2 linked regions of the Sus scrofa genome follow. The protein of the gene in region 1 interacts with the protein of each later gene in a pairwise test. Links are inferred from orthologs where the notes say so. Each region holds a gene or a part of one and is shown in the gene's direction. Other genes may lie near its edges.

Region 1 (4,457 bases):
AAAGAGCACAGGCTTTGGAGTCAGACCGAGGAGTTTAACTTCTTAGCCAGATGGGCTCAGGCAAGTTTCTTAACCTTGCTGAGCCTTGATTTTTCTCATCTGTAAAAAGGTGGTAATGCTCTCTCCATGGTGGTGTTTTAGAAGTTAGGGATAATGAATGCAAAGTGCCCTCACATGATAGATGCTTTATCATTGGTTGTAGTTACTGGGCAATGATGAGACACTGCCACTATTTTTGGGCAGGGTAGATACTGGTAGATACTCATTGAATTTATACTATATGGCATACATTGTTTTAAGAACTTTGTGTGTATTTTAATTACAACAGTCCTGTGAGATAGTTATTATCTCCATTTTATGGTTAAGAAACCGAGTCACAGAAAGGTTATATAACCTTTCCAAGGTCACAGAGGATATAGTACATTTACTTGAGTAAGTGTACTCACAGAGGAGGAAAATTTGAAGCCAGTCAGACTACAGAATCTATGCTCTTAACCCCTATTTTATTTATTTATTTATTTATTTTTGTCTTTGCCATTTCTTGGGCCACTCCCGCGGCATGTGGAGATTCCCAGGCTAGGGGTCGAATCGGAGCTATAGCCACCGGCCTACACCAGAGCCACAGCAATGCGGAATCTGAGCCGCGTCTGCAACCTACACCACAGCTCAGGGCAACGCCAGACCCTTAACCCACTGAGCAAGGCCAGGGATCGAACCCGCAACCTCATGGTTCCTAGTCGGATTCGTTAACCACTGCGCCACGATGAGAACTCCTATAATATAACTCTTAACTCAGAAAAAGAATACTTGTTTTTATCCTCTATTTAGGTCAAGCGTAAAAAGGGAATGGATGTCTTAAGCTTCAAGTTCACAAATAAATTGAATTTTCTAGACGTGAGACTTTCTTTTCCTTACACATGCTGTTATCTACTCTAAATATATTGCTTGTTTATGGGATATCATTTATTCTCCCACTCAATGCCACATTATTTTGATTTGGGGATAAATGAGAAGACTGATTTTCCTCAATAACCTAGAGGATTCAGTTTCCTTCTCATTGAAAGCATACACACTAAAAAGTATGAACAAGTCCAAGCATTTATTTTTTCCTAATCAGCCTAAATGCATTTAAACCAAAACAATGAAATTGAGTGTTTACCTCAGATATCCCCTACCATCCCATTCAAGACATTGTAGTCCTGTTTCTAGGATTTCTCTCTCCTTCCCTTCTTGTCTTCCTTTGGGAAAATGCTTTAGGGTAGAAAGCAACAAACTAAATAGCAGTAGGCAAATAAAATCAGCTTTTATTTGCTTCCCCACCCAAAAAGGAAGGAGTAAGAACCCCAGCATCAAAGAGAACTGACGCGCTTAGGCCCTGTCGTTTTAAAAAGCCCTTGTTCCCTAAGCCCCCTTCCCCTAACCCCCCAGCTCTGCAGTAATTCCTCAGAGATCGTACAGTCTCCACTTTAAATATAAATATATATAAAACTTCCCCCTGTCTCTTTTTCCCCTCCTCTCTCTCCTTTTTTTTTTTTTTAATTCCTATAATAAAGTTTCCTATTGGATAAAATCAGCTCCCTGATTTATGCCTGGCTCCGATTGGAAGTTCCCAGGGGCTGACATCACTTAGGAAAGCGAGGGGTAGGGCTGCCAGATCAGTTTGTCACCACCCAGGCTCCCTAGCCTTTGGCTGGGTGCAACTTCCATTTTAGGTGTTGGATCTGAGAGAAAAAAAAAGAGGGAGAGAGAGAAAGAAGAGCAGGAAAGACCCTGAAAGGAGGAAGAGGTGGCGAAAAATCAACTCCCTTGCTGGATTTGTCTTTCTCAGCACGTTGACGAAGGCTTGGGTTTCTTTCTTAGAGGACTGGTTTCTAGAAGTCCACATTTGAGGTGTGTGCCTTTTTAAAAATATGTGTATAGATGGGTGAAGGAGGATAAGCCAAGTCGAATTTTTGTCTTAAGGTAACCGGAGGGAATTTAGAAACAAGAGATTCTGTTACGCTGATGGGTAACTTTTAAGCGGTTATTAATTTTCCTCATTTGGGGAATTTTGGTATTATATTTGAAACAAAGTAAAATATTCAAGAACCAGGAACAAACTTCTGGGTCTCTCTAATATAGGGAGATGAATAGATTCGGAGGGGTGAGGGCAATTCTGTAAATTTGCATTTTGGTGTGTTCTTTTATTTCATATTTTTTTTCTAGGTTAGGCTAACAAACTTCTGTTTTCAGAGCCCAAACCAAAAGTTGGGTTTTTTGGCATGTTGCGTGTGGGTTGGGAAAGGAATTTGTCCGGGTCGGAAGCTAGTTATTCATGTTTTAAAACTTTTTTTTCCCTCCCTTTAATCATTGGATTTGTGAAAGTGGAAAGTTGCAGGGAGTTTTGCAGCTTAAATGGTGGTATTTTTTCCTCTGGAGTTTGAACAGCCCAGATCAGTTTCAGCCCTGCTGTTCCTGGGTGGATCCTTCTTTTACTTTTCCAGGTGCGGTGGGTGGGAGCCTCATTCTCCGGCTAGACTTAGCTCCCTGCTTTGCCTTATAAAAGAAAACAAATGGATCCATGGTAACTGAATCGCCATCTCCTTCCTTCTACAACTACCTTGATGGCAAAGGTTTGTGGAGGTGTAGGTTGAGTTGGCATGTACGATAACCCTTGGTTTCTGTGCTTAAAGGGATAAGGAAATTCTAATCATGCTTTTGCGTTCACCTGAGTAAAGTGGCGATACACATGAAAATATTTTGAGCTTTGTGCTCTCTGAAAGGGCCTTGGATTAAAATAATGATAGGCTAAGACTAAAATACCTATACCAACTTTAGTGTTTAGAAGGCATTTGAGAAAGCAAAAGGGGAATTCTTACTTTTAAACCAAACTGAAAGTTGTTTTTTGGAGGTGAGTTTTTCCTTTGGTTAATTAGCCATGAAATCAGAAATCTGTAAGAGCTGAAGGCTCATGACTGTGCTTTCATATCTTCTATTTAATCTTAAGATTAGTTTTTGTTTTGCAAATACATTCTTTCAAAAATACTGATTCTAGATAATTGTATAGCCAACTCATCAGTAACTGAAAACTGGATGTTTTCTTCCATCTTCTTTGAAAATGAGAATCAGTCTGAAAACTAACTGCAGTAGATACTGCCCTAATTGTAAAAAGATGGGCCTGTGTTAGCTGCTCATTAGCTTTAAACTGGTATGTATGTATAATAATCCTCTGATTTTGTGCCCCTCACCCCTCAATTCTTTTTAGACTAGAATACTTCCTTGGATTTCTTTTCCAGAACAAAAGTGTTTCTTGAAAGATGAGTTCATTCTTACAAGGTTGTGTCTTCAAGGGAAACAGAACTTTGTTTCTCCGTTTAATATAATTTATGCAAGAGCTACAGTAAGATTTTAATGTCTGTATAATTAGGAGTATCTCCTAATTATAGCAAGCGCAGTTACAAAGAAAAAAAGGACAATGTGTACAGTCCATTGGGCTGTAGTTCTTATTTCATTTCCAAATTTTCTTTCAAATGCTCTCTCTGCCTTGACGCCAGCCTAAGGGGGGTGGGGGGGTTCTTGGATCTTTGGAGGATTGGTCATGTTGCTGCCAGAGTGTTGGTTTCCCACTCAACCTTTAGGGGGAGGAATGAGGGAATTTGAAGGAGTACAAAGGCAGTTTGAAAATAGGTTCTGGCTGACTGAATGGTAGTAGTGCTTTGGGTCCAGCTTTAAATACTGGGCTTTGTGTAGCTGCAGTGAGCATTCTAGTTGACTAGCGACCAGGACTATTTCCACGAACTGAGGCATTGTTTTGACTGGGTGTGTACTACTGGAACCTTTTGGATGATAAGATGGAAGAAGACTTGTCTTTTACCTCACCTCTACCTGTTCTTCTAGGAGATATAATAAGGGATGTGAATAAGTAAATCTGTTATTTTTTGTTTGGCTCCTCATTTTGACTTGGGGGTGAAAAATGACGAGTAAGTATGAGTTGTACAGATTTTTCTTTGCTTGTGTGACTCCTATATACTGTTGGTTTCTTTGTTACATGACTAAGGTATGGCCTGTGTTCCAGGTGGGGGTCTCTTTTGGATGCTTAGAGTCCTAGTGCCTTTCCTAGAGTTCCAATTATGGAGAGTCAGGGGGTTAGAACATATTCTTTCAGCTAGGATAAAAATTGGAAACCTTTAAAAAAAAAAAAAGCTTCGAGTAATCGCAATTCAGCGTTAGGTTTATAAGGTAGTTGCTCTCTAGGGATGAGAGATGGGATGGATGTGCAAATACATTAAGCATGGAAATAACAAAATGATTAGCTTTGTATAATTTACTGCTTTCTATTTTGGTACCTGGTAGTCCCCTGTTACCTACTGCCAGCCCTCCCTCCCCCAACCCCCGGCTTGTTTTTTTGCTGAGTGCTAAGCATTTTGCATAAACTATTTGCTTAATTTTCCACAACAACCCTTTGTTGTTGTTGTTGT
Region 2 (3,286 bases), on another chromosome or scaffold:
GATCCTTAACCCACTGAGCAAGGCCAGGGATCGAACCTGCGACCTCATGGATCCTAGTCGGATTCGTTAACCCTGAGCCACAACGGGAACTCCAAGACCATATGTTTCAGACCCAGTATTGCACACACCAAGCCTCTCTGACATTCAAATCATTCATTTATAGGTGAAATAGCTTTTAAGTGTTCCTAATGAAGATTCTTAAAGTTTTAAGACAGTTAAAAATTAACTCTTAGTTTTCTTGAGGAGAAAATTCAAAATTGGAACTAAGAAAATTAATGTGTTTAAAAATTGCTTAGTGGTGATGCATGTGTCAGATACAAAGAAAGAGATTAGTGTTCAGATCTGCAGATCAGTTTAAAACTTGCTTGTTTCTTCTCAGGCAGGAGTCGTGAGCTTGACGTGTGGTCCAAAAACCAGCTGGTATAAAGAATTTATATAAAAACCAAAAAGTTTTGCCAAACTTTGGTTAAAACGAACAAACTATTTAATGATGCTGTAGCTCAAATTCTGAATGATGAAGTACTTTTGTTTTTCTTTCCTAATCTCCCATCCCCTCCTCTTCCCTTTCTCTTACAGGCATGGAGAGTAGAAAACTGATTTCTGCTACAGACATTCAATACTCTGGCAGTCTGCTGAACTCCCTGAATGAGCAGCGTGGCCATGGACTTTTCTGTGATGTCACCGTTATTGTGGAAGACCGAAAATTCCGAGCCCACAGGAACATTCTTTCAGCTTCTAGTACTTATTTCCATCAGCTCTTCTCAGTTGCCGGGCAAGTTGTTGAACTGAGCTTTATAAGAGCAGAGATCTTTGCAGAAATTCTCAATTATATCTATAGTTCTAAAATTGTTCGTGTTAGATCAGATTTACTTGATGAGTTAATTAAATCAGGGCAGTTGTTAGGAGTGAAGTTTATAGCAGAGCTTGGTGTCCCATTGTCACAGGTTAAAAGCATCTCAGGTACCCCTCAAGATGGTAATGCAGAAACCTTACCTCCTGGTTCTAGTGACAAGAACCTTGAAATACAGAAATCAAAAGATGAAGCCCAAGATAATGGGGCCACTATAATGCCTATTATAACAGAGTCTTTTTCCTTATCTGCTGAAGATTATGAGACAAAAAAGATCATTGTTACTGATTCAGATGATGATGACGATGACGTCATTTTCTGCTCTGAGATTTTGCCTGCAAAGGAGACTTTGCCGAGTAACAATGCGGTGGCACAGGCCCAGCCTAACCCAGGCTCTGTTGCTATTTCAGATGTTGCACCTTGTGCGAGCAGTAGCTCTCCCCCTTTAACAAGTATCACGCCTCCTCAGAAACTTCCTACTTCTGTGAATCAGGCAACTCTGAGCCAAACACAGGGAAGTGAAAAATTGCTGGTATCTTCGGCCCCAACACATCTGACTCCCAACATTATTCTGTTAAATCAGACACCACTTACCAACCCACCAAATGTCAGTTCTTCACTTCCAAATCATATGTCTCCTTCAATCAATTTACTTGTGCCGAATCAGCAGCCACCAAACAATGCTGTTTTAACAGGAAACAAGGCCAATGAAGAGGAGGAGGAAGAAATTATAGATGATGATGATGACACTATTAGCTCCAGTCCAGATTCGGCGGTCAGTAATACATCTTTGGTCCCACAGGCTGAGATCCCCCAAAATACCACTTTTGATGGATCATTGATACAGAAGATGCAGGTTCCTACACTTCTGCAAGAGCCACTTTCCAATTCTTTAAAAATTTCAGATATAATTACTAGAAACACTAATGATCCAGGTTTAGGATCAAAACATCTCACGGAGGGTCAGAAGATTATTACTTTAGATACAGCTACTGAAATTGAAGGCTTGTCGACGGGTTGCAAGGTTTATGCGAATATTGGTGAAGATACTTATGATATAGTGATCCCTGTCAAAGATGACCCTGACGAAGGGGAGGCCAGGCTTGAGAATGAGATACCAAAAACATCTAGCAGTGAGACGGCAAATAAACGTATGAAAGTAAAACATGATGATCACTATGAGTTAATAGTAGATGGAAGGGTCTATTATATCTGTATTGTATGCAAAAGGTCGTATGTCTGTCTGACAAGCTTGCGGAGACATTTTAACATTCATTCTTGGGAGAAGAAGTATCCTTGCCGTTACTGTGAGAAGGTATTTCCTCTTGCAGAATATCGTACAAAGCATGAAATTCATCACACGGGGGAGCGAAGGTATCAGTGTTTGGCCTGTGGCAAATCTTTCATCAACTATCAGTTTATGTCTTCACACATAAAGTCAGTTCATAGTCAAGATCCTTCTGGAGACTCGAAGCTTTATCGTTTACATCCATGCAGGTCTTTACAGATCAGACAATATGCATACCTTTCTGATAGGTCAGGCACTATGCCTGTAATGAAGGATGATGGTATTGGGTATAAGGTTGATGCTGGGAAAGAACCTCCAGTAGGGACCACATCTGCTCCTCAGAACAAGCCAATGACCTGGGAAGATATTTTTATTCAGCAGGAAAATGATTCAATTTTTAAACAGAATGTAACAGATGGCAGTACTGAGTTTGAATTTATAATACCAGAATCTTATTGAACTCCTTTGAAATTTCAGAAAGTTTTGGTTTTGATTAGGGGGCAGGGCTTTCAGAAGACCTGTAAAACAAAGGTTCTCAAGTTAATAGGATCTGCCACGTCACCTGAAGGTAGTCTAGCTGGATTATTTGTTGATAATTTTTAGAAGCAAGTTATTCTGAAAGTTTGAATAGAGATGGAGCAGTTTTTCCCCCAAGTATCTGTTTATATAGTTAGCTTTCAGCACATTCAAAAGAGGCAAAAAAAAAAAAAGCTTGGAGAGATAGTTTCCTGAATAGAATTTGAAGCAGTCTGAATGTTTGAAAATAACTGGAGTTATTAGCATACATACCCTAGTTTATCTTGCAACTTACCCCTTCTGTGTTAGCACTTTACTGCTGAATTCTCAATTTTCTTAATATTGAGACTATAAATGTGTGTTGTGTCTTGTATATGGCATAAAAAGTAAACAAGAACTTTTAAAGTTGTCCTGGAAATTTTCAAAATAAGTCTCTGCTTGGTTGTCTTGGCTGTGTATTCTGCTGGTCCAAATGGCCTCCTGCCCCTCATGAAAATGGCCATGCAGACAGGTCTCTCATTTGAAAAATGAATTAGTTTTAGCTAATCAGAATTAAATCTTGCTTGTATTGCCATAGTCTGGAAAAGACTTTGGTAGCTGGACTGTTGTATATATACCTTTGCAATGTGGTT

The links.
Region 2: the proteins of CTNND1 (region 1) and ZBTB33 interact in binary tests that used the Homo sapiens proteins (3 or more experiments, as listed by UniProt). The link is inferred for Sus scrofa from reciprocal best matches to the Homo sapiens genes CTNND1 and ZBTB33.

Annotation. Positions count from the first base shown.
Region 1 is NC_010444.4:13,206,418-13,210,874, reverse strand, and holds the start of CTNND1 (catenin delta-1), read left to right. Parts: upstream 1-1,643; 5' UTR 1,644-1,890; intron 1,891-4,457. UniProt on the Homo sapiens protein: Key regulator of cell-cell adhesion that associates with and regulates the cell adhesion properties of both C-, E- and N-cadherins, being critical for their surface stability.
Region 2 is NC_010461.5:98,408,185-98,411,470, forward strand, and holds part of ZBTB33 (transcriptional regulator Kaiso), read left to right. Parts: intron 1-576; 5' UTR 577-578; coding exon 579-2,597; 3' UTR 2,598-3,286. UniProt on the Homo sapiens protein: Transcriptional regulator with bimodal DNA-binding specificity.